Caenorhabditis elegans: one gene and its partners. The protein of the gene in region 4 purifies or fractionates together with the protein of the main gene of each other region. This does not show direct contact. Each region holds a gene or a part of one and is shown on either strand. Other genes may lie near its edges.

The links.
Region 1: the proteins of vit-2 (region 4) and K07A12.5 purify together in Caenorhabditis elegans (affinity purification with mass spectrometry, with the first as the bait; one large-scale study listed by BioGRID). This does not show direct contact.
Region 2: the proteins of vit-2 (region 4) and nab-1 purify together in Caenorhabditis elegans (affinity purification with mass spectrometry, with the first as the bait; one large-scale study listed by BioGRID). This does not show direct contact.
Region 3: the proteins of vit-2 (region 4) and acs-4 purify together in Caenorhabditis elegans (affinity purification with mass spectrometry, with the first as the bait; one large-scale study listed by BioGRID). This does not show direct contact.

The regions. Positions count from the first base shown.
Region 1 is NC_003279.8:8,692,951-8,697,275, reverse strand, and holds K07A12.5 (Pre-mRNA-splicing factor SYF2), read left to right. Parts: upstream 1-2,001; 5' UTR 2,002-2,131; coding exon 2,132-2,153; intron 2,154-2,196; coding exon 2,197-2,338; intron 2,339-2,390; coding exon 2,391-2,502; intron 2,503-2,617; coding exon 2,618-2,755; intron 2,756-2,801; coding exon 2,802-2,920; intron 2,921-2,966; coding exon 2,967-3,061; intron 3,062-3,105; coding exon 3,106-3,223; intron 3,224-3,271; coding exon 3,272-3,574; intron 3,575-3,620; coding exon 3,621-3,783; 3' UTR 3,784-3,825; downstream 3,826-4,325. Other genes in the region: F39H11.1 (Craniofacial development protein 1), read right to left, coding at 1-122, 198-242, 290-522, 571-669; pbs-7 (Proteasome subunit beta), read left to right, coding at 984-1,015, 1,062-1,167, 1,219-1,397, 1,443-1,554, 1,632-1,913; asg-1 (putative ATP synthase subunit g 1, mitochondrial), read right to left, coding at 3,886-4,056, 4,104-4,325.
Region 2 is NC_003279.8:4,227,996-4,235,582, reverse strand, and holds the start of nab-1 (Neurabin-1), read right to left. Parts: upstream 6,007-7,587; 5' UTR 5,915-6,006; intron 5,698-5,914; exon of another isoform or gene 5,696-5,697; 5' UTR 5,669-5,695; coding exon 5,576-5,668; intron 4,820-5,575; coding exon 4,724-4,819; coding exon of another isoform or gene 4,640-4,723; exon of another isoform or gene 4,441-4,639; coding exon 4,358-4,440; intron 4,010-4,357; coding exon 3,821-4,009; intron 3,088-3,820; coding exon 2,880-3,087; intron 2,512-2,879; coding exon 2,349-2,511; intron 2,103-2,348; coding exon 1,896-2,102; intron 1,698-1,895; coding exon 1,060-1,697; intron 871-1,059; coding exon 523-870; intron 64-522; coding exon 1-63.
Region 3 is NC_003281.10:7,166,267-7,171,518, reverse strand, and holds acs-4 (long-chain-fatty-acid--CoA ligase), read right to left. Parts: upstream 3,682-5,252; coding exon 3,628-3,681; intron 3,560-3,627; coding exon 3,413-3,559; intron 3,366-3,412; coding exon 3,276-3,365; intron 3,199-3,275; coding exon 2,419-3,198; intron 2,370-2,418; coding exon 1,412-2,369; intron 1,333-1,411; coding exon 1,166-1,332; 3' UTR 529-1,165; downstream 1-528.
Region 4 is NC_003284.9:5,099,322-5,106,691, reverse strand, and holds vit-2 (Vitellogenin-2), read right to left. Parts: upstream 5,661-7,370; 5' UTR 5,650-5,660; coding exon 4,777-5,649; intron 4,725-4,776; coding exon 4,440-4,724; intron 4,394-4,439; coding exon 1,214-4,393; intron 1,166-1,213; coding exon 919-1,165; intron 871-918; coding exon 614-870; 3' UTR 523-613; downstream 1-522. Other genes in the region: C42D8.9 (CUPID domain-containing protein), read left to right, coding at 1-311, 361-432. UniProt on the Caenorhabditis elegans protein: Precursor of the egg-yolk proteins that are sources of nutrients during embryonic development. Together with other vitellogenins, may play a role in modulating life-span, acting via induction of autophagy and lysosomal lipolysis.

The DNA of each region.
Region 1 (4,325 bases), on a different chromosome or scaffold from region 4:
CAGATTTCTCCAAAACAGAAATTTTAGAACGCTTCGACAGTGATTTTGCAGCATCAAGCAAGCCGACTCTTTTCTTTCCGGGTACAATGCTACTTTCAGACGATGTTCCAGCTGTTTCCGTTCTGAAAAAAATTATTAGAAAAATAAGAAAAAGTTGTTTTTAAATTTGTATCAAATAAAAACTCATGTCAACTCACTTTTTCGGATAAACCTTCTGATTTGTAGACTCGTTGGATGCAGATCTGTAAAATACATTTTTAAAAGTTATTTCTACTTGTTTCAAACATACGCTGCTGATTTTGGATACACCCTTTCTTCAGTTTTTGGAATATTCTTGCTTGATGTATCGTTGACAACTGGTTTCGGTGCTAGCCCAGTTAATTCTGCAAATATCGCATCCACATCAACACTTCCTTCAGTACTGTTTGCCTTTTCTGATGTATGGTCGTCACTTTGTTTTTCATTTTTCAGATGTTCAACTTCTTCGTCAATTCCATCTTCGCATTCTTCTTGATCATCGATCTGTTGAGGAGAATGAGCAATAAAAGGGCGATATCTAGGAATGCTTACTTCATCCTTTGGATCAAAATCGGTATCCTTTGTTGGATCGTAATCTTCATCGGACGATGAGTTGTAGTCTTCTTCGTTATTTTTAAGCTCCGAGGTCATTTTTCTGAAACAATTTATATTTTAAATAGTTTCACAATTTCAGTGAGAATTCAAAAGAATAAAATATGAATTAATATATTTATAAAATATGAATTAATTTATATTATAATATTATCTCAAAAAAAGTAGCGCGAGATAATTTTTCTTATTGAAGTACGCAATTGTGCGTGGTATTCAGTGTAAAATTCGACGGAGCGCACATGCTTTATGATGACTTAGCCGCCATTTTTGCATTTCATTGTCGAAATTCACTTCCTTTCATTTTTTCAAAGCACTCCCTTCAAAAACTTCATTTATATTGTTTCAGAACCAAAATGAATGCTCACGACGAAGTCCAGCGCACACTGTAAGTCATTAAACCTATATTCGTTTGAATTAACTCAATTTTTCAGGAATCCTACTTGTACCGGAACATCGGTTATCGCTCTCCAGTATAAAACTGGGGTTGTTGTCCTTACTGATCGAGTTGTTTCCTATGGAAAAATGGCTCGTTACAAGGTTTGAATTTCCGTTCAGCTGAAAGTGGATTTTCATAATATTTGTTTCCAGAATGTTTCTCGTCAATACAAGGTCAATGATAATGTTCTCATTGCCTTCGGAGGAGATCACGCTGACTTCCACTGGCTTCAAAATGTGATCGAGCGTCAGGTTCTTCTCTGGAAGCGCTTCGATCAGGATATTGGACCAAAAGCTCTCCACGGATACCTCACAAGCCTTCTCTACGCCAAGTCTGTTTTCCTAATTAAATTGAAAGTTTAAGTAAAAAATTTCAGACGTTGCAAGATGAACCCAGTGTGGAACACACTTGTTGTCGCCGGAGTCGAAGAGGAGGAGAAGAACAACAAGGAGACTAGCACACCTTTCATCGGTGTCATTACTCAGAAGGTAAACTTGAAAGCGTTAACTTGCCGGATCAGAATCTCATGATTAAATAATCACATAATAATTATTCTAAATTTCAGGGATGCGCATATCAAGTGAAGCACATTGCAACTGGACTTGGAGCGTTCCTCCTCAACCAAGCTGTTGAAGATGAGTGGAGAAAGAAGGGAGAAGACCTCTCCCGTGAAGAGGCAGAAGCCGTGCTTCGCAAATCGCTTGAACTTACTCTCTACCACGACTGCGTCGCTGACAATGAGTTCGAAATCGGACGTGTTGATGCGACAGAAGGTGTCGTTTTGGGTAAAGAAGAGAAGATTATTGGTGACTGGTCGATTGCCGAGACTAACTGTCAATATGAATAAGTTTTCCCCGGTGTGCAGGATGCGTTTCAGTATCTCCATGTTTAACTTATTTGTATCCTTCTTTTCAAAACATTTTACTCTCTCCAACCCACGTTTTCGGTGTAAATTTTATTTATTTTCGCGTGAAGTCGATAAATAAACTTCCATTTAATCCTTCTATTCACGTCTAAGTATTCACACGCATCATTTCACAAGTGCTCGAGTCAAAAATAGCGAGCATGAATTTCTCTGGTTTAAAAAGTATGATGAGTTTTTGGTTTAAAGTAAAATCGAGCGCTTTCAGGTAAACTCCAAAAGCTCAGTTTATCACCATCGCCTGATAAACAGAAATCTGATTATGAAAAGAAACAGGCGAAGAAGATGAGCTACAAAAAGAAGATGCAGCAGCGGTATAAACTGAGTGATGATCAGTATGAAACTCACAAGTAATTAAATAAATTGATGTATATGTAATAACTTATCTGATTTGGTTTCCAGGAAGGATGCTCAGAAACAACTGAAAAATTGGGAAGAATTTCGAAAGGAGCAAGTAGTTGAAATCTTTCATACGCAGTCTCAATACGTTTCGAAATCGAAAAATTCAGACGTGGTAAGCATACAGTATATATATATATATATCTCGCCGCGCAAAGGAAGTGCTTAATTACGGTTTTTACTATCCATCTAAAAAGTTAAAAAGAAATACATTATTTCTTGAAATTCAGCGCCATCCAAAGATGCAACGAGCCAATACGGTTGTCAATCGTCAAGGAGTGAAAGTTGATGTAGAATTTGGACGATTGAAAGAATACTACTTATCCACTTTGGCTCCACAAAAAAAGTTTGTGTCGATTCGTGATCACGTAACATAGAGATTATAGAGAAATTTACTTTAACCATGAACTTTAGGCAGCTCGTGAAAAGGAACTGGACGCTCTTCGTAAGAAACAGAAAATCAGTTTGGAGCAAAGGAAAGATAAACAGGACAACATAAAAAAGTCCCAAGCAGAGTACGATCAGATGAAAAGGTTTCAATGGGTCGAATGGTTTTATGTAGAAATTATCATATTTTAGCTTATACGCTGCCCCTGTCGATCCCAAGCAAACAAAAGTGGAAACAATGGAGCAAAAAGAAGTTTTAGAGCCAACAGCCCCGATGGAGAAATTCGGTAAAACTACGAAACAATACAGAAATCGGAGTGTTTATTTTCAGTTGTGAATACCACTGACGACAAAAGAGCCCTGTTCCCAGCCAGTTGGTATCAACAACCGATTTCCCGTTCGCAATTGAAGAAAGGAAAGATGATTTATTGGATGGCAAAAGACGAAGAGTAATTTTCGTGGCTTGCATCCGTTGGATCTTAATATTTGAATTTCAGAGAGGATATGACGTTGGACGATGATCCAGAGGGAAAGTACACGGTTACTGCTGAAAAGTTGATTGAGACAATGACTGCTGGGGGGAAAGTTAAACATGCTGGAATAACAGAACCACCTAGCAACACAGCAAACACCATCATGTCCGAGTCCTTGGCATCAATTAATGCGAGATACAAGAAGAGTTGTGAAAGAAATGCTGTTTTCATGAATACCTTGCACGGTACTATTGAATTCAACAAGAAACAAGTATCTGTAGATAAAACCCTCTCTACAAGTTCAATAAGCCAGGATGATGCGACCGAGTAAGAATTTCGAAACTGATTTTTCTCTAACGAGTTTTATTTTTAGCGCTCCGAATCAAATCATTTTTGCTCCAACAATCACTTCTCATGTTTTCAAAGGCCGATCTCTGAAAAGACAGTATGCAGTGAAAAATAAGGCACTTGAAACTTTTGAGGAAGATCGGAAGGATTACACTCGAGAGGCTGGAGAAGAAACTAGTGGATTGTAATTTTTTGTATTGAACTAGAAAAATAAAGCCTTAATTTCTTTTATCTAACAAACGTTGAAGAAAAAACACATATTTTCACAAATGAATATGCTTATCGATGTATTAAGCTTCGAGGGCAGCGAGTCTCTTCTTTTCGGCAACCTTAGCCTTTGTATCCTTCGAGACATAATTGGCTGGAACAATGTACCCGAAAATGTAGCGACGTCCAATCATTTCTCCGACAAAGAACCAAAAGACTACCTCGAGGGCAACTGCCGAGTAGACGAGACTTTCCTGAAGTTATTTTTTATTGAGTGTTGTTTCAGCGTGTAACAAATTACCTTGATACTAAGGTTGACATATTGCTTGGTCTCAATAAACTTCTGGAGCTTAGCCCAGTCCGCCTTGATAGCTGGGATGTCAGCAGACCGGGGTGGAGCCAGCTCGTGCTTTCCAACAGCCTTGAGAATAGCGAGACGGCGTGGGAACTGCTGAGCTTGATGACGGTAAAGAGCTCCAAAGGTGTTGGCCAACTTTTCGAAGAAGCTCAGCTTGTGGGTCGC
Region 2 (7,587 bases), on a different chromosome or scaffold from region 4:
CTTCATTCCTTTTACTTTCTTTTTAATTAGAGAACGATCCGAGTGATTTTGAATTCCCATTGCCTAAAAAATATTGATTCAGATAAACAATTTCAAGTGGTGTGATTTCCCAAAATTGTGGAAAATTTGAAAAAGTTGACGTCACATAAGGTTTATAGAATGCACCTATTTTAAGCCTTGTATATTCTAGGCACTTTTCAGGTAGGCAGACTGTGCCTACTAGACCTGAAGGGTTTTTGGGTTTGGCACAAGAAACTGAAAAATCAAAAACAAAAGTTCAGTCTCTCTTGCTCGAAAAGTGACATTTCTGTTGTTTTTATGAAATAGAGTGTAACATAAATATTGAATTCATTTCAGAATTTTCAGGAATCTTTTTCTCGGTTTTACCCAAAAAACCGAAAAGTTTAAAAAATTTTAGCACCTTGGTGCCTACGAAATAGTTTAACTTTTCGTTATGTAATTGCAGCGTTTTTTTTTTCTACCCGAGTTTTCTTGCGCCGGGATCGTATACATCTTACTCACCTTCAGTTTATTTCCGTCGAGCTCGAGGAACTTGGCTCCATCGATCTTATTAATGGTGAACTCTGGCACATATTTGTCCAAGCCCATTGAAACGAGCAACTGACAAACATCGTCCACCGTCCAATGAAGAGCTTGAAGACCAACTGGTTGACACGTGGCACGCCAGAACTCGTTTTCGGCGTACTTCTTTCGGAGTGGGAACAGAAGTTTGCGATGCGTCAATTTATGTGGAAGAGCCGGAGATGCTGGCTCGGAGATACGAGGGACTGGCGACTCGCATGGTGATGAGTACTCTTCTGTCCAACTACTTCCAACTGATACTTCCGCATCTTTTTTGGTTGATGGAGTCTGGAAATGAAAATGGGTGTTATAATTAGTTTCTTACTTGGGCTTAGGCTTAGTCTTAGTCTTAGGCTTAGGCGTAGGCTTAGGCTTAGGCATAGGGCCTACGCTCAAGCTTAATTTTAGGCATTATGTGAAAACTGTTTTAGAATGAAGTTTGAAGATGAATGTTCTTTCATATTTTCTCCAACTTACAATAGTCTCCAAATTAACCATAACAGCCTTATCCTCGTGAGGAAGCTCTCCACCTGGTCTATACGCCATTCCTTCATTCCTCTTCTCAACTTTCTCCTTTAACTTCTCTCTCAACTCGATAAGCTCAAGATTCTGAATAGAATGCCTTCTCTCTTCAGCTTCTTCCAATTTCGATTCCAACTCATCAATTCGTTCTTTCAATTGACGAACTAATGATGCATAATGTACATCCTTATCTCTCAATTGTTCCACATGATTCTCTTCTCGATTCAACAACTCTTTTTCTCTTTCCTGATAGTTTTTAATCATATAATTTGCCTGCTCATTCTGCTTTTCCAGTTGATCACAATGTGATTTCGTTGAGCTCAACACTTCATGATATTGCTCTGCTTTCTTATGAGTAACATCAAGTTCCAGTTCAAGAGCAGCAATCTTCGAACGAATCTCAATTTCTTCTTTTGTGATCATTGAAGTTGTCGGACGATCCTGTTCAATTGGTAGCTGTGGCATTTGAGATGGTGGTGGTGGCGGCTCTTCGATATCGTCTTCCTCGTCTCCCATCATTCTCATTCTGTCGTGTTCAAGACTTTGTTGAATTAGCTGAGCAACTTCGGATTCTTCAAGGTTTTGTTCGCGACCTGCAATACATTTTTTTTAAATTGGAAGATAACTGGTAAACATAATTGAAATATTTTCTAGATGCTTTTTTTCTCTACGCTTGCGCGGAATATGGTGTATTGAGTCGCTGTTGCACACAAAAATATTTGTGTTATTTCACGGAGTCATCAATGCAATATATCATACGCGTTCGGCACAATACTCCAAAAAAAACCAACCAATTGTGAAAGTGACTCGATTGCTGGTGGATCTCAACGTGTTTGCAGCATACAACTGTGAGACACCGACCAAACTCTTTCCATCGACTGAAACAATTTGATCGCAGACACGAATTCGTCCATCTCGATGAACAGCTCCGCCAGGTGTGATGCTCTTTACAAAGATTCCCAGCTTTTCAAGACCCGAGTCTGCACCAACACCCATACCTGAAACATAACGAATTTATCCGAAAACCGTAGGCAGGCAGAAAGCATATAATTTTTTCCTAAACAGTAGCTTCAGGTTGACATTCCTTCAAGTTTAATTAAGCGCTTATATCTCGGTTATCTTTGGTTATGCCGAGAAAAGAAAGTTTCCAACTATAAAAATGAAACAGAAACTGTGAGCAACATCCGATTGTAACCGAGATACAAGGCTTCTAAGTTATGGTAAGCCACAATACAATCACTAACCAATAATAGAGACTCCAAGTCCCTCGGCACCCTTTTCCAAATCAACTTCAAACAAATCCATTCTTTCAAGTCGTCTCTCCAATTCATATTCAGCACAACTTGCCACCGGATCAATGTCTTCATTCTTGCGATCGTAGTCTTCAACGGAAAACGCCGAGAAGACCTGAAAGTGAAAACGTTTAGATATTATGCAAATGAAGATCGCTTTCTCTTTCTCTTTTTCTCTTGTTCCTCATCTCTTATCATATCAATAAGGTGACCTAATTCGAGATTGTATAGATATATCTATTAATGAATTAATATCACCTTGCCACATATATGTAAACAAAAGGAAATGTTAGGTTGTGGTGGTCAAGTTTCAGTGAATGCATGTTTGCTCTATTGATAGTTTCAAAAAGATTTTTCTCGGCCACGTTTCAATCTGTCTTGGCCTAGAAAAAGTATAAAATTATTTTGAACATCATACATTCCATAGAGCAAACTTGCAACAACAAAGAAACATGAGTGAATGGGAAAAGTGGGTGATCTTACCGGAATAGGTGCAGTGCTGAACGAGACCTTTCGATTCGTTAAATCCACGTCAGGCCTCTCTGGACTCAGACCCCTCCGTGTTTCCATGAGTCCTCTGTTTTCTGATGTTGTTTCAAGTTCTGTTTCCTTTGGTGTTTTGACGACGGCGTATGTCGTGTGCTTCACTCCATTCGTCGTTGGTGAGATTCCATCGTTTTCCTCGCCAAAACTGAAAAAAAAGTTTTGATCGAAGAAATTTGATTATTTATATTAACAGCAACTCATTTTCATGAAATGATTGGTTTTTTCAGGTGCCTGCATATATTAAATTTACTAAAAAAACAATCTGGCGCAAATCGTATCAAATTTTTAAATTTTAAAAAATGTGAATGTCCGATAAAAAATCGGCGTTCTAAAAATATATCTAGACACACTAAATGAATTTTTATCACAAACACAGTGCGGTTTTTTAAAAACTTAAGGTTACGATAGATCCTTCATAAGCTTGCCAACAATGGGCTTGAAAAGGGTTTTTACGGTTCCAACGAGCCGATATGTGAGAAAACTCGGCCACGCTATTTTAGCAATTTCTGTAATCTTAATAGATTTTTCAAATTGAAAAATTCGAAAATTTCAAGATATTATGTGCCATCACTATTCTGAAAGATCCAAAGAAGACCGTGTTCCTGAATGAATCAAAAATTTTACTTTTAGTTTTGTACTTTGGAAAAGTCACAAGGATCTTTTTTTTAGCAAATTCAAAAAAAATCCCGAATGAGAAATCTAAGAAAATATGCTGGCCAAGTTTCTGGTTTTTTCTAGGCCACATTTTTTTTCGAAAAAACACAAATATTTGTTAGTCGCAACTAAAATACTTCAGCGCAAGAAAAAAAACTATTATAGAGAAAAATAAAGAAACTCATGCGAGAAAGTAAGAAAAATAAAAGAAGCGAAACACATACGGTTTGCCATTTCCTTCGAATTGCCTCCGATATATTGATCCATTTCTCCAATAGGGTTCAAATGAATTCATATTAATATTATTATTATTGTTGTTGGTTTGAAGTCCTCCATATTGCGACGTGGCAACCGTATTTTCGAACGAATACTGCTGTGTGGAATCGGAATATGATGACGGAAGAGTTGATGATCTGAATTGGAAAAAGAAAAGGCATGCGAAGCTGATAATGAAGCAAAGAAGAATGTTAGTTGAAATTAAAGAAAAAACAGAGATTTTGGTTTTTTTTTCGATTTGAAAATTCAAAAAAGTTCCTTTAAAAAAATTCTCAACTAATTTATCTGAATTTCGCACAGTTTCCTAGAATTTCTGAAATCTAGTTGCAGGCGACTTTTTGTAACTACCAAAAAAAATTAAAATACTTTGGCCCGCGAACCGAATGGAGAAAATTGCGATTGATCAAAAAAAATTACAGTTACATTTTTTTGAGAATTAAAAAAAAGTTATGGTATGGTAACAAATCCTTAAAAAAACAACTCACTTATTTTGTATAAACCTAGACGTTGCCGGCGATGATTGGATCCGATCGAGATCCGCGGCCAAATCAGAGAAATTTCGTTCGACCTGGAAAAGTTTTCGAGTTTTCGATTATGTGTTATATGCGTGTGTGTCTGATGGGGGAAAGGAGTGTGTGTGTGATATGAGTAAATGCCATTATTTTTGAATCTATTATCGATGAGCGGATTAGTCAACCGAACAGTATAACAGAGACGGGGGTGTTGGAGACACAAAACATTGACTAACTGACACAGTCTTTGAATTTTTAAATTCCATTTCTTTTTCCAGAAAACAGAAAGAGAAGGAGAGAGAGAGAAAGAGAGCCATGTGATTGTTTGATCACACATACCTGTGACATCGGACTCGGCGGACATTGAGATGGAGGTTTTGGGGGTAATGGAGGTGGTGGTTGACGTTGAAGACGTGGAGAGTAGAATGATGGAACCTAGAAACATTATTTTTTAATTGACACTACAGTAGTCTGCTTGCCCAATTTAGAGTTTGTTTTGGAAAAAGCGTGGCGGGCATCTGATGTTTGAAAAAGTTAGCTTACTATTAGCTCAGAAGTTGGCAAAATTTGGGCAAGACTTTGAAAATACTGGGTTTAAGCTGTGTTTAACAAAACTTGAGTTATAAATATGGTAGAAGTCTAAATCAAGTCGACAGTGTTTCCAACTTTTGACCCAAATTAATAATTGTTGAGCAAAACTTGATCATAGGGAAACCTCTTTTTCAGACATTTTTCAGACGTGACGTCAAATTTCTTAAACGTGAGGCTGTGAAGTGATACAGAAACTGGTAGTCAGAGTATCTCTTTTCCGAATGATCTCCGAAAACTTCGCCAAATTTAGACGCAGACTTTTCAGCTGGTGATCTAAAGAGCGGGGACGTCATACTTTTTCACTTTTCCTGTGAGCAAAATTCCAGCAATTTTCATAGATCAAATCAAGAGAGGGGACTTATTCTTTGAAGGCCTAAGTGAAGAATCTACTAGCAGGCAAAACTTGTTCATAGGGAGCTACAGATTTGATCTATATAGCCAGGAAAATCATTTTGCGAAAAATTGCATAAAAATTCTGGAATATATGCTCTAATCCACAATTTAGTGAGTTTTTTCAAGAAAAATAAATAACCGTAATGCAAAATAGCAAAATGATTTCAAAATTCGGAAACCAATTATTATCATCCAAAAAAAACTCACGTCTTGCTGTCTCTCAAGCTGCTCAAAAAGAGCCTTTGTATGTGAGAATCGAGCTCTTGCGTCGTCTGACAGCAGCTCGGAAGCCGTTGTCATCTCGGCTGTTTGGATTGAATTAGGCAGCTGTAAAATTGAATTTTTCAAAAGGTGGAAAGGTTGGGGAGCGGATATAATTCGTATCAGTTTAGGGGAACTGAGGAGCGAACGGGCGGTACGGGAAAGGGTGTCAATATCCGAGGATATTGCATAACCTTAACAATAAAGGACCGTTTTGCGCGCATGTCTTCTCCGGTTGGAATGACCTGAAATGATATTCCCCCGTGAGATTTGTCTGCGACTCACCGTCTCGCACACTATTTTGTTATCAGCAGCGGTGCGCACGACGCATGCACCGCCCACTTGCTGTTGTTGTTGTCCCGGCGACGTCTTCTTTTCTGAAGAGATTTTCAATTTCAGAATTGATTAGAATATTTCCGAGGCTTGGAGAAAAGAAGAAGAAGAGGAATGACAGAAGGATTTACGGGAAAGTGAAAATATCTATTTATTCATAATTATATTCTTTTTCGTCTCCCGGGTGATAACTGTGATAAGGATCAGGTTTTTGGGCACCGGACGGGGTGGTTGGATGAGGACTAATTGGATTGCGTTCATTTGTGTGAAGAAGGAAAAGCGAAATTCGGATTCAGAGCGGAGGCAAGAGGAAAGTGGAAGAAAAAAGGAGATTAAAAGGGAAAAGGTGCCAAAAAGTATAGAGAGTCTAGACTCGATATAATCAAATCAATTATTGAATTAGAATTGTCGCAAAAATCAGAAATTTCGCAAATAATTCTGGGGATAAAAATTTAAAGTTAGATCACAGATACGAGGTGTTCCTAGACGTAGGAAGGCACCTCTTATTCGCCTTTCTACTCGCCCTATCTGAACCGCACAGCCGAACCATTTTTGAATTCAATTATCAATTCGCCATATTTTACGGTACATCAGTGCAAATGCGCTCTACATTGATCCAAAAAATTAGTATTTTTGAATACTTTTTTTGAAGTCACGAAATTGGACCACCGATTTTTTGGCCCAAAAAATTTAACCAAAAAAAAATAAGCTCAAACTTCAGGGTATCAGATAGGCAAATTTGACCGTGAGGGTGTCGGCCAATAAGGTTTGATGTTTGAATTTATTTTTCAACTAAATCTTATTTTGAAATATTAGGAAAACAAAATGTTCTACATATCCTTAAAATCCAAAAAAAAATCAGAGATGAAGGAAAGTATGTTTTTGATGAAAAATTCTCAAACACCCGACATTCATCAATCATCACAGAACGGGGGCTCTCAATCTTTGTTTTTTTCCTCACTTTTCTTTTCACATATTTATTTTTACAGATATAAAATTAAAAGTGTCCATTCTAAGAAAAGATTTTTTAGAATGAATGAAGGAAATAATGAGAAATGAGGATGGAATTGAGCATGTAAACATGACGACGAGGGAGGCTATAGATATATTTACGGACTGGCAAAAAATTGGAAAAATATTTACTTGGAGCCAGAAGCTTTTGGGAAATGAGTGTGAAAAATATGGAAAAATCTGGAACAAATAGCAATACTTTTCGAGTTTTCTTTCAGCATTCTAGATAAGTTTGCAAATAAAAAACCCAGCTTCTATACTGGAGGGTGTTCTTAAATTGACGAAGGTTGCTGAAATTGGCTGAATTTAAATTTTCCGAGCGCAAATTGTTTCAGGTGGGAATATATTTTCAAGCCTTTTTTATTGCTTTGGCTACTATTGATTTGAGTACTACATTTTCAGTTTAAAAAAAACTGTCAAAAAAATTCTGCAAAAATCAATTTTGGAATTTAAAATCTCTAAACTTGCAAAAAATATGCTGAAAAAAATTTTTAAAATTCAAACTCTGATTTTTTTCAAGTTCCAATAAACTTTGAACTTTTAAGAATAAGAAATGTCAAGAAACTGACGATGTCTACAAAAATAAACGAGCCGGAATGAAAGTGCGCAACGGG
Region 3 (5,252 bases), on a different chromosome or scaffold from region 4:
TTACCAATCATAACATTACCTTTATTTTTTAAAGGTTTTATCCCAACATTAAAAATGTGTACAATAATTATCAAATTTTCAGTTTAAAAGATAAAGGAAAGATGAGGACTAAAAATTCCAGTCAATCAAGGCTTCTTCAATTTTCTACTTCTACGTGAAAACTCTCGCCTGAAAAAGTAAGTTTAAAGCTCACAAGTAATATAAAATTACTCTTCCGTTTGAAATTAACCTGCATGATTTATTCCAATTAAAATGAAAAATCAATTTCAAAACAAACTGTCATTAGAGCCCCTCTTGCAGCTGATAAATTTATTGGATCATCAATCAATAATCCACCAAAATATCTCGATAGAATAGTAAGTGTTGTATATGTTCCAAAAAAGATATATTGATCTTCAAATGAAGATTTCTTCTTTGTTTTGTCTATTCTTGTTCTAGGCGTCACAGGAATCGCTCATCTTCGAACCAATGACGTTGAAAGATGGTCGATCAACGACTAGTGTGTAGATTCAGTACAGAAGATCATTTATCAATCTTTTTTATTTCACATCTGTGTGTGACAATACAAGGATGGAATCAAATAGATGTTTTGGGGAGAAGGGACGAGATAAATAGAAAAAGATGGGGGAAAATGTGTGTATTTCTGTGTCGGTGTGAAAGGAACAACCCATTTGGCAAAAACAAACTATTGATCGAATGAATTTGTAAAAATTGAAAATCTATCTTAACACCCTTGAAATCTCGATGGATTTCATTGAAAAACAAAAATGTTGTCAGCATTTTCATTTTTGAAAACAATCTACCTAATTTTCAGGGGCGACCAAAATATAAAGCGTTTGGATGTTTGGGGAAAAGGAATCAGGGGCTCTAGAAAGAATAAGTTACGAATAGGTACGATGTGTGAAAAACAAGTTAGAAAAGCTCTTTGATGGTGGAAAGGGAAGGAGAATACGGGAAAGAGTAGCATGAAACACGAATCTTTACAGAATAGGAATGAAACCTAAAGCTTCCGGTATGAAAGCTAACAGATTATGCTGCTATAAATGAGGGAAGTATACAAAAGAGATGGGAATCCAATATCGAGTATCTCGAATAGGTGGGGAAGAGCAAGTTACCAGTGTGAAAAGGGCGGGAAAAGAAAAAAAGAAAGCTAGGAAGACATGAATCAATTCTTTTTGAGCTGCTTATACAGATCATCGAGGGTCTTCTGGTAGGCCATTTGGATAGGCTTTCTCTTCAGCTTGAGTGCTTCGGTAAGAAGGCCAGTGTCAGGAGTCCAAATCTCGGGGCAAAGATGAATCGCGGCTGGGATTTCAGAGCGGGAAAGTTTGCCTGAAACAATATACATTTTTAGGGAACCACAATTTAATTATTTTAAACATTAGAACGTTCATAATTTCTCAAAACTAACTTTTCTTGGCATGTTCTTCGAGTTGTTTCTTGTAGGCAGCAATGACCTTCTTATCTTCACACATCGTCTTCATTTCACTAGTTGATACACCTTCCGCTTCAGCAATCTTCTCCAAGTGCTTCTGGTTTGGAACCACAAGAGCAACAACACTGTCTTCCATTCCACTTCCATAAACGCAGATGTTATCAACAATTGGGCAATTGAGAAGTGCACATTCAACTTTAGCGAGAGAAACATATTCTCCGTGTTGCAATTTAACCAAATCCTTCTTTCTGTCAATAATGAGAAGAGAACCATCATCACGCTTCTGTCCAATATCTCCAGTGGCAAAGTACACTTTTCCTTTATAGGTGATGAAATCTTCAGCGGTCTTTTCTGGTTGTTTATAATATCCAGGTGAGATGTTTTCTCCAGAAATAAGAATCTCTCCTTGTGGTGGATCATTGAATGGTGAGTATCCACCTTCGGACCACTCACGAAGAGCAATATCTGAGCATCTGACTGGGGGACCAACGGTTCCTGTGCTCAAGTCGTTGATATCAGCAACACAAGCAGCTCCACAAGTTTCTGTGAGTCCGTATCCTTGAACAACAGGGCAGCACATACAAATATTCATGAATCTTTGAGTTTCAGCGTTCAATGGGGCTCCACCAGACAAAACACCACGAAGTTTTCCTCCCAAAAGTCTGCGAATCTTTTTGAATACGATGCGATCAAGGAATGGACTGCAGTAACCCTCCAAATAGCGGGATCTCTTTCTCTCATAATTAAGTTTGAACAATTCTTGCATGAAACGAGGTGATGCAGCAACTTCTTCGGAGACGGCCTTGAAAATTCGATCCATAATAGCTGGAACAGCAGCCATAAGAGTTGGGCGGAGGGCATGACAATCTCCATGTGTTCCCTTTTGGATTTTTGATGCACGGTCGTGAAGTGTCAAGGGTGAAGAATATCCAACCTTAAAATAAATGGGTAAAATGAGTTTTAAATCCAATAAAAATTCTTACCTTGGCTCCTTTAGTCAAACATGTCAATTCGGCATCCAATTCGAGAATATGAGCAAGTGGAAGATACCCAATGTATGTATCTGCATTGCATATGATTCCAACACCATCCCCTTGTCCCAACAAAGCAGCCACAACGTTTTGATGAAGAAGAATAACTCCTTTTGGCTGACCAGTTGTGCCAGAAGTGTACATGATGAGGGCAATGTCTGACTTCACAGCTGTAGATTCTTTAACTTGTTCCTGATTGCGAGTAAGAAGTCCGCTCAGTGATAGAACATGTTTGAACTGATCACGGAACGGTGCAAGCTCTGGTGCTGGTGCTTTCTGGTCCACAGGAGCGAAATAAATCAGGGTCTTCAGAGTTGGACATTTCTTTCCAAGCGTTACAATCTTTGGAAGAAGTTCCGAAGAAGTGACAAGAATTGTAGCTTCAGTCTCTCCGATGGCATGAGCAATTGCGTCTTCTCCCAAAGTTGCGTATACAGTTACGATGGTGACGTTGGCACGGAAACAGGCAAGAGCAGTGATGAGCCAATCTGCACGAGTTTCAGCAAAGATAACAACTTTCGGATTTTGTTCTTCATGGGCAAGATCCTTGATACCGGCTGCGAGGCGGGCGACTTGAGTTTCAACTTCTTTGTAGCTCTGCCACACATACTCTCCAAGATGCCACTTCTCAAACACACGGCCTCCAGGTTGTTTATCTTCGTGAACTTCAATAAGCTGTCGAGTTCCCAAACATGGCGATTCATCGTAGAGTTCGACGCACTTTCTCCAAACCTAAAATTTAAAGCATGAAATGTGCTACTTCAGCTTTTATCGAATTCTGCAATGCAGATCTTTGCACACTTGCCTACCTTATCAACTGTGTCTTTTCCTGGGAATGTTTCTGAAGCATGTCCTTGAATATTACGGATTGGTCCATCACGATCGTCAACCCAATTTGCCTGAAACAGATAATACGGATAAATTAATATTAAAAGTATTGACAAACCTTTACTCGCTCCGACTTCCGAAGCTTTTCCGTTGGCGAATTGAACAACTGGTATGGCAAGTAGTTGAGACAATCGTATATGAAAAACCACACACGAAGGATGGCCATAGCTACACGAATCCATATTGGTGATTCACCTTTCACTACCTGAAAATAGAACTTGTTGGAAACTTTCAAACAAAAAATCGTAAAATGTCCTAAACAAAAACACGAACCTGGCCGAGTGTCTTATCCTTTGAAGAATCGTATACCGAAACTTTCCGTTTCATCTGTAAATAACGAAAATTAGAAGAGATTATTCTAAAGAAAAATGGGAAGAATGTACAAGACCGTGACGCATGGAATAGAGAATGTATATAATATGATATGTATACAGAAGCAGCATTTCTACAGTTTTGGGAACATAAAGAACAATTTTTAATTCACGATGAGCAAAATTGCTAGACAAAAAATTACGAGAATTGCGAGAATAATGCAAGAAGGGAAAATATATTTCTGTGCAAATATTTGACAATTTTTTTTCTCATCTTCTCCCGTTCAGAGTGCAGCCTATTTGTCTTACATCAAAAAGTCCAATAATTGTTGCAGTTTTTGCGACGTTCTTTTTAAACATTATTATGGTTAGCTGCCGATGAAAAAGAGGAAACTACATTATGTCTTTGACGGAACTCTTGATAGCATCATTTTTATAAAGTTGGAGGTGTTTCGTTTCGGACTGCAAAAGCAGAAAAAAGGGAAAACGGAAAATCGTGCTGATAAGGAAAAAACCTCAAAATAATTCCGGCATGAAAAGTCACCACGAGTTTTAAATCGTAGTTTGATTATTGTAAAATGTTAAAATTAAAAAAAAAAGTCTTAGACAGTTATTGTTGTAAAGTTAACAGCCTTCAATCTCTGGACGAAAACAATTCCTCGTCTTATCAGCATCAGTAAAAATAATATCATTATCAGGTGTTTTGCGTTATCAAATCAGTGAAATGTCGTTCGCGGTAACAATTAAGAACATGCGGAAGATGTATCGTGTTCACAATTTTCACCGTAAAAATTTCGAATGGAAAAAAGAACTGTCCGAAACAAATGACGTCTCCTTCTACATTCTGCGTGGCAACATCGCAGTTCTTCACAGGAAAAGAGAAAGAGGAGGAAAACTGCACACGCCCGTATTCTTTTCCTCTTCCTCCCTCTTCTTCCACTCTGTTCTCTCAGTTTTTTTAAACATAGGAGCGGCTCCCCTCACTCCCCATCTATTCCGCGCAGTCGTGAGACGCAGACAATGCTAGGAATGCATAGATGAACGCTGAGTTGGAAGCGGAGGTCTTTCTGCGCACACGAGTAGAGACAAAACAGAGAAAGCAACTCAGAACATGGCGCGAGATTCGGATATGGCACCACTTTTGACCTCAAGAGGACCAACAAGCTTTAAGAATAATTGTTACATTCGAGTTACATAAGTTTATACATTTAAATGTTAAGTAAGCCTTATTTTCAGAAATGCTTGCCTAAATCAGAAAAAAAACAACAGCGAGAAAATGTTAAAATGAACGTCTGGGAAAACTATTTTTTGTGATGAATCATAAGGATGGGCTGTAGAAAAAGGAAATTAAATTTTGAGAACGCGGTTTTCCTAGAAAATCATCTATAATAGTTGGACATTCAATCTAAATGGAAACAGTTAGAGAAATACTAGAATTATTCATATTGTCAAGATATTCGTCAGCCGTTTTAAATCTAATTACACGCCACCGAGGAGATACGCGACTGAAACCCTGTGGTTGCGTATTGGGTGACAGGGTACTCTTGGTGGAGGGATTAGGACAGTGTATTGATTGAAATGGGGTAA
Region 4 (7,370 bases):
ACACCAGTATTGATGAAACGACCGACCTTGATCAGCTAACGATTTCCCGCCCAACGGCTGTTTTTGCGGAAACTGGAAATATCTCACTAGATGGCACAAGCCAGACGGTCCAAAGAGCATCGATGTCCTCGCCGGGTAGTGTCACAGTGGTTTCATCTCCGACGATTGGTGTTTTGGCGGCAGCCCCTACAGCGATTGGTGCGTTGATGGGAGCATCTCCTGGCGTTGGAGCTTTGGTCGCTGCAGCTCTTAATCCTGTTCAACAAAACCCTTCGGAGAAAGAGGATCCTGATGGTGGTTCTCTTAGTACTGTTGGTTATAATTTCCGGTTCTTTCAAAGCATAGACTAGCTTTTTTCAGGACTTTCACGTTGTACACGACGAACTGAAACACGCTATGGCATTGGACAAATCTATCAAACGGCACTGCTAGCGACGCTATTTGTATAAATATTTCCTTCATTTCAATTTTTTTTCCAATTTTCAGTAATGCAATTTTTTTAAAAAGAATAAAACAATAGTTCAAAGTGAAAATTTTATTTAGAAAATGTCAAAAGACTACAATCAAACAGATGTGAATGATCAATTTACATAAAAGTGCCGGTCTAGCTTAATCAATAAGCGACGCAGGCGGTTGGGACCTTGACAGACTCAACGAAAGAGACTGGGTAGTCGTCAAGTTGGAGTGGCTGTTGGCGAGACTCCTTCAAGAGACGGCTGGCATCTCTGTTGTGACGTTGCAAGCAGGTGAAGCGGATCTTTCTCTGTTGTTGCTGCTCGACCTCGTATCCGCGGCGGCACTCGGCTACTGGCTCAACGGAGAAGCAGATGCGGTGGGAGAACTCCTTGATTTGTGTCTTCTCGACAAGATCTTAAATTAAAAATTATCGATATGAAATTTGAAGAAATTGTATCTTACCGGATTTCTTCTGGCTTCTCTGGTTCTTCTGGCTCTTCTTGGTGTTTTCCTGCTCGTAATCGTAGGTCTCCTCAGATGAATACTCATCAGATTGCTCCTCGTCTCTCTCGTACTTTCTGTAGTTCTTCTTCTCGGAAAGACGCTCCTCCTCGGCTTCGCACTCCTCGTTCTTGAGAAGGTATGAGCGGTGAAACTCTTCGATGTCTTCGGTTTCGGTGTTATCGGAAGTGTAGAACTCGTTGGTGGACTGAAAATTTTTGTTATAACTCAATATAAATTTCTACACTGAACTCACCTCATCATCATTGTTTCCGCAAAGTCCGCAAAGTTGATTCTTGCGGCTGTAGGATGGAAGTTGGGTCTTGATGGTGTATCCGTCAAAGCGAACCTCTCCTTCTGGAAGCTCAATAACAATAGCGGACTCTCCGAGTCTCTCGATTTGGTAAGCAGAATAATCCTCAGATTGGATCTTCTTTCCGTCAACCTTAACGCGGATCTCCTCGTTCTGGAGTTGGGCAACAATTTCTTGTTCTCCACGGATAACCTTGATGATCATCTCTTCAGAATTCTTTTCAGTCTTCTTGGAGAGAACAGCGAAAGTTGGCTCCTCGGAGCAATCCTTGGCGATAAGAGAGTAGCAGGTGGTGAGTGGAGTGTTGTAAAGGACATCATCGAAAGTGCGGATTTGGTTCTTTTGCACCTTGCAGACAGATCCGGAAGCCTCAGTAAGTTGGTGCTTGACGGAACGTTGAGCAATGGATGGAAGGTAGACACGTGGAACTTGAACGTTTTTGAGCTCAATGCGCTCCATTGGGGATTGCATGGTGATGTTGACGTATTGGCGGGACATTGGCTCAACTGTGAGTTGGACGACGACGCGATCATTCTCGTTGTTCTCTGGGCGGCTCGAGACAGTCCAGTAGTTGTAGGTCTTAACAAGATCGAAATAACGGGCAAGAACTTGTTCGGTTTCACGGGTGAGCTTGTACTCAGCAACAGCGTTGATCTGGTTAAGACGGGCGGCCTTGATCAAAAGCTCGTACTCTGGCATTCCATTGAATTGACGGTCCATGTTACGCTCGTATTTCTTCTGTTCTTTGGATTGTTGGAGTTGAGCATTGACGGTGACTTCGCTCTTCTTCTGGGATCCCCAGGTAGAGGTAAGAGAGAGTTGAACCTCACGGTGGGGTTGATCGCGGAGTTGACGGAGGGATGATGGCATCTCTGGGCGGACAACAAGAAGTTGGGAGCGGAGAGTCCATTCCTTGGTTTCCTCAAGGATTGGGGAGCGGCGGATTTCAACTTCCCATTGGCACATGCGGACTTGCTTGTCACAGACGGTGGTGAGCTCGGTGTTCATGGTGTAGTCACGTGGGGCCTCAAGTTTCAAGGAGATGACGGATTTGTATCCTTGCTCCTTCTGGATGTTCTTGACCATCTTGTTGAAGTACTCACGGCGGCTCTCGGTGTTCTCTTGTTCGAGCTCGAACTCCTTTTCGAAGATCTTGTTGTACTTGATTTGGGAGAGTTCGGTCTTCTCGAGTTGTCCAACGGTGAGACGGGCAGTGAATTCGGCTGGACGGTTCTTGTTCTCAACGGAAACCTCGAAGTCTTGCTCGGCAAGAAGCCAGTTTTCAAGAGTGTGTTGGTTGAGGATGTTTCCGCGGGTGGAGACTTCAAGTCCGAGGAAGTTGAAGACTTTCTCAATTTCCTGAGTCTTTTGTTGCCATTGTGGAACAACGACGGTTCTCTCTTCAGCCTCAATGTATTCGAACTTCGAGAATCCTGGGAAACGAAGGAAGACAACTGGGCGAGTGGTGAGGGAGACGATCGATTTTTGGTTCTCTGGAACGACAACCTTGTAGACGATTTCGAAGTTTCTCTTCATTCCAGCGACGGCTTGAATCTTGATTGGGGTGTAGGCGCGGACGGATTGAACGCTCTTGACTCCTTGCTCGAAGAGTGGGGTGAACATTCTCATCTCGTAGACGTGGGTGGCAGCAACAGATGGGCGAGCCTCAACGGTCAAACGAAGTTCCGTTCCCTCGAGTTCAAGAGAGAATTGTCCTTCAGCCGAGATGACGGTTGGGATCTTTCCAGAGATGGTGAGTGGAAGCCCAAGAGTTGTTGGGAATTTGCGGATAGCTTCGTAGAAGTAAGCGGCATGGTGCGTCTCGAACTCGAGCTCTTGGTTGAGAAGACGGCGGATTTCGCTGAACTGAACCTTTCCGTTGCTGGTGAACTTCTCGATAAGATTCTCAACAAGTTGTCTGTCAATTGGAAGGAAGGCGTAGTCCATGTCCTTGTAACGAAGGTAGACCATGGCGAAGGCATCCTTCTCGGTGTAGGTAGCTGGGCGAGCACGGATGTTCATTTTCTGGGCAAGTTCCTTAAGAAGCTTGATTCCAGTTTGAATACGGCGTCCGCGAACAACAGTGGTCGACTCCTTCTCGAGGCTTTCGAGTTTCTCAAGAGCCATCTGAACATATTTGTCCATGTGCTGCTGAGAGAATCCGATTTGGGCAAAGTACTTGTTCCAGTTTCCTCCGAAGACGGCATCAAGAGAAGCGTGAAGATCCTTTGGCAAGAAAGAGTTCTTCTCGAAGATAGCGGCAAAGTCAAATTGAGCTCCAGAGAAGGAGTTTTGAAGGAAGAGTGGAAGTTGAGCGTAGGAGGAAGCGATCATTTGTTCTTGTGGTTGATAACGAGTGAAGGAAAGAACCTTTGAGCAAACGATAGCAACACGTTGGTAACATGGGTTGGTGGACATGGCAAAGTGACGGATCATCTGGTGGGTAAGAGCAGCAACTTGTTGGTTGGTCTCCTTCTCCATTTGGGAGACAACTTGGACGAGGAGGGACTCTTCTGGGCGGGTATGCATCATTCTCCACAAAGCAAGCATGCGGATCTCTGGCTCGTATTGTCTGTTCTTGTAGATTGGGAGGAGTACCTTTTGGATCTTGCGTGGCATGGTGTCCTTAAGAAGTCTGAGGGCATCAATGGCTTCCTTGCGGACTGGGAGTGGTTGGCGCTTATCAACAATGATCTCGTTGAGTTGGTTGACGGAGATGTCGAGTCCAGCGTTTCCGATGGTCTTGAGGGCCAAAATCTTCTCGTAGGTGGTCTCAGCATCCTTGTATTGTTGCATGAATACGCGGAGGAACTTCTCCTTGAGCTCACGCTTGTCCTCACGAACGAGTGGACGGATGTTCTTGTAGTCAACAATTCCGCGGACAACTGATCCAGCGGCGAGCCAAGCAGCTTGACGGACAACCAGGTTGTTCTTGGCAACGCGAGACTCGGCGAACTTGATGAGTGCCTCAGCGATGCTTTGGGATGGGAATGGTGTCTCTTGGATGGTCTTAAGAATTTGACCGAGTGGGAGAATGTCCTCGTTTTCCATGTGAACAAGGATGTGTTGAATTGTGTTCTTGGTTCCAGCAATAGCAAGAGCGTGCTCCATCAATGATTGGATCTAAATATTGCAAGGTATAGGATATAATGAAACTGAAATTTTTTACCTTCTTGTCAGCCTTGACGTAAAGAGTCTCGTGGATCTCCTTAAGTTGGGAGGTGGAGGTGGTGCGGAAAATGCGGACAAGACGAGCAAGGAAGTGGGAGGTCTCTGGCATGTTGTTCTCGACTTCTTGGATTTGCTCAGTGATAGTCTTGATCAAGTGCATCTTCTTGTCGAGTGGGAACTTCTCGAATGGGGCGAACTCAGCCTTGTCTCCATTCTTGAAGAAGTCCTCAACGAGTTGCTCCCAACGGGAAGAGTAGATGATGCTTTCCTTCTCTCCATTGACCTGAAAGAATATTTTTCTGAGAACATACTGTAAAAATTATAGATTATCGTACCTTCTTGATGTGGCTCTTGATGGAGTGGTTCTCCTCAAGAACGAGCTTTGAGCGGGTTTCAGTCTTCATTACTTCTTGTCCGTTGACGTTGACAGTGTAAAGGGAGCGGACCTCGGATTCCTTAAGCTCTTCGTTCTCCAAAACGTAGGTGTAGACAGTTTGTGGGCGGATGAGCTCGGTGTCCTTCTCGCATTCTGGGCACTCGGAAGAGTAACGAAGTCCGTAAGCGATCTCGGAACGTTCGGTGCACTTATCGAAGTTGATGGACTTGGTGATGATGGTCTTCTTCTGCTCACGGATGACAGTGTAGGCGACTTGGCAGTCTCCTTCAAGGGTCTTCTCGTTGGTGAAGAAAGAAGTGTTTTCCTCAGATTGTTCCTCCTTGTCATAAGAAGATTCGATCTTCTCAATCTCGTTTCTTGGAGCAATTGGGTTGAAAGAGATCATGTTGACAACAGCTCTCTTCATGTTCTTTGACCATTCAGCGTCTTCCTTGTCAAATTGGAGCTCGGAGATAAGTCCATTTCTGAGTTGAGCACGGAGTGGGAGTTCGAGCATTTGCTTGTACTCCTCGGAGAGCTCGCGCTGCTCCATGGAGTTCAAGGAAGGCATCTGCTCGGACTCTGGGAGGTGGGAAGCGGCCATGCGGATGTTGACAAGTTGAAGGTGGATGTAGCGGTCATCGACGGCTTGAATGCGGGCACGTGCAGAAATACGGGATTGGGAAAGCTCAGAGGAAGCGGATGGGAGTCCGGAAAGGACGAGGCCATCGAACTTGTAGTGATAGTCAGTTTTTGGCTCGAAGGTGCGCTCGAAAGCTGGAGAGGAGGCGAGGGCCAAGGCCACGAGAGAGGCGATGATGATCGACCTCATGGCTGAACCGTGATTGGACTGTTTTCAGTGCACCTTTATATACGGCTAAAGATTGACATATGTTCGATTGACTTCATATGGAAGTTATAGCGTTTTAGCGCATTGATAAGCTCATTGATGGACACATTCAAGCATTCGCTCCGCTTTGTGACCCTTATCAGAAACAAATTGCAACATTCGGTGAGAGCCCTGTCTATTAATTTTGAATGAGGGGTTCTAAACATATAACTAAATTGTTTCAAGTAATACAGTTTGATCACACTGCACTTTGATACTCATGACTTTTTAACGATGAGGTGATTCTGGACATGATGAAACTCAGCTAGCACATGGTATTTAAAACAAAGTCATTACTTTTTTACTTGCTAGTTGCATTGTGACCGACAGGATAGAAAAATCTGCAAAAAAAACTTGGTAAAATTGTATTGTAGGCACCTAAAACGCAACCAGTTTTCCTCAATTGGGCACACAGGATCACAAAAACTAAAACTGAATCCAAAAAAATATGATAGAACTAACAAATGTTAAAACTTAAAACAACTAAACATTAAAAACCCAATTATTCACAAACTTCACCAGATGTTTTGACATTATTCTAACTTAACATTAATTGTACGTCTAGCAAAAATCTGATTAGTTGGAAATCCGCGGCATCCCTAAAACTTTTTCATTTTCCAGTGTTCTGCGTATTATTCGGTTGTCAGTAATTCCCAAATCTGGACTATAAGGTCTCACAAACGTCCGGTACTGTGATTGTGTGTTAATTGTTTCTAAATTAACTTGAATTCACCATTATTTATTTGTAACTTATAAGAAATCTGTTTTGTTTGTATTTTTTTTTTACTTCCCGTTCAGAAAGTCGACTATTTTTGATCAAGTACTTTATGCCACGAAAACCAATATCACGCTAGTTGTTGAAATCGACAACGCCGCTGGGGTGGTCGCTGCGCACTTGGCGAATCCGCAACACAGGAGAAAAGATTGGATAGTCAAATGACCCAGAAATGTCCGTGGAGGAATATAGCAGTCTCGGCGGTGTACGACGCGACGGAATTCGGATGTAGGACAGAGACTCCTAGTAAGAAGGAGGAGGAGGGGGGTCCTTTCCCGAAAAACACTCCCTATTCTTTCTTCCTTCCCTTTCGGTTATCACTCCACACTTGTTGATGTCACAACCGATCCGGACATTCAACCCGCACCGATTGCCTGTGTCTCCATTTCCAAGGAGAAGTGTATCTCCGATATATACAACTTTCATATTTATTTCAAATGTTTGAACTATACAGTTTATGATATTTTTGGTTCAAATGGTTTAATTCCAAAAACGGAACCATTAGTTAATACGTTTTTGTTGTTCCTGTTTGAATTTTTTGAGCCTTTTCCTATCAATTACTTTTTGAAATCTAACAGAAATTTTGAAACCAAATAACTTTTTCATAGTCCTCTCAGATTTGCTTCGACGTCTCAGCTTTTCACAATACTCATAGAATAAGTAATATAATTTATCAAAAGAAACAGTTGTGATAATAATTAATGTGTTTCAACGGTATTTGTAAAATATCTGTAGTTTATGTTTGTAAAACAATTTTGTATATATGTTTCGGCTCACTTAAGCTTTCTAGGCCAATTTCAGGCGTTTTAGACTCATTTGTAGGCTTATCGGGCTGTTAGGTAGGATAGTCCCTATAAAATAAGTTGAATAATGTTTTGGAATAAAAAAC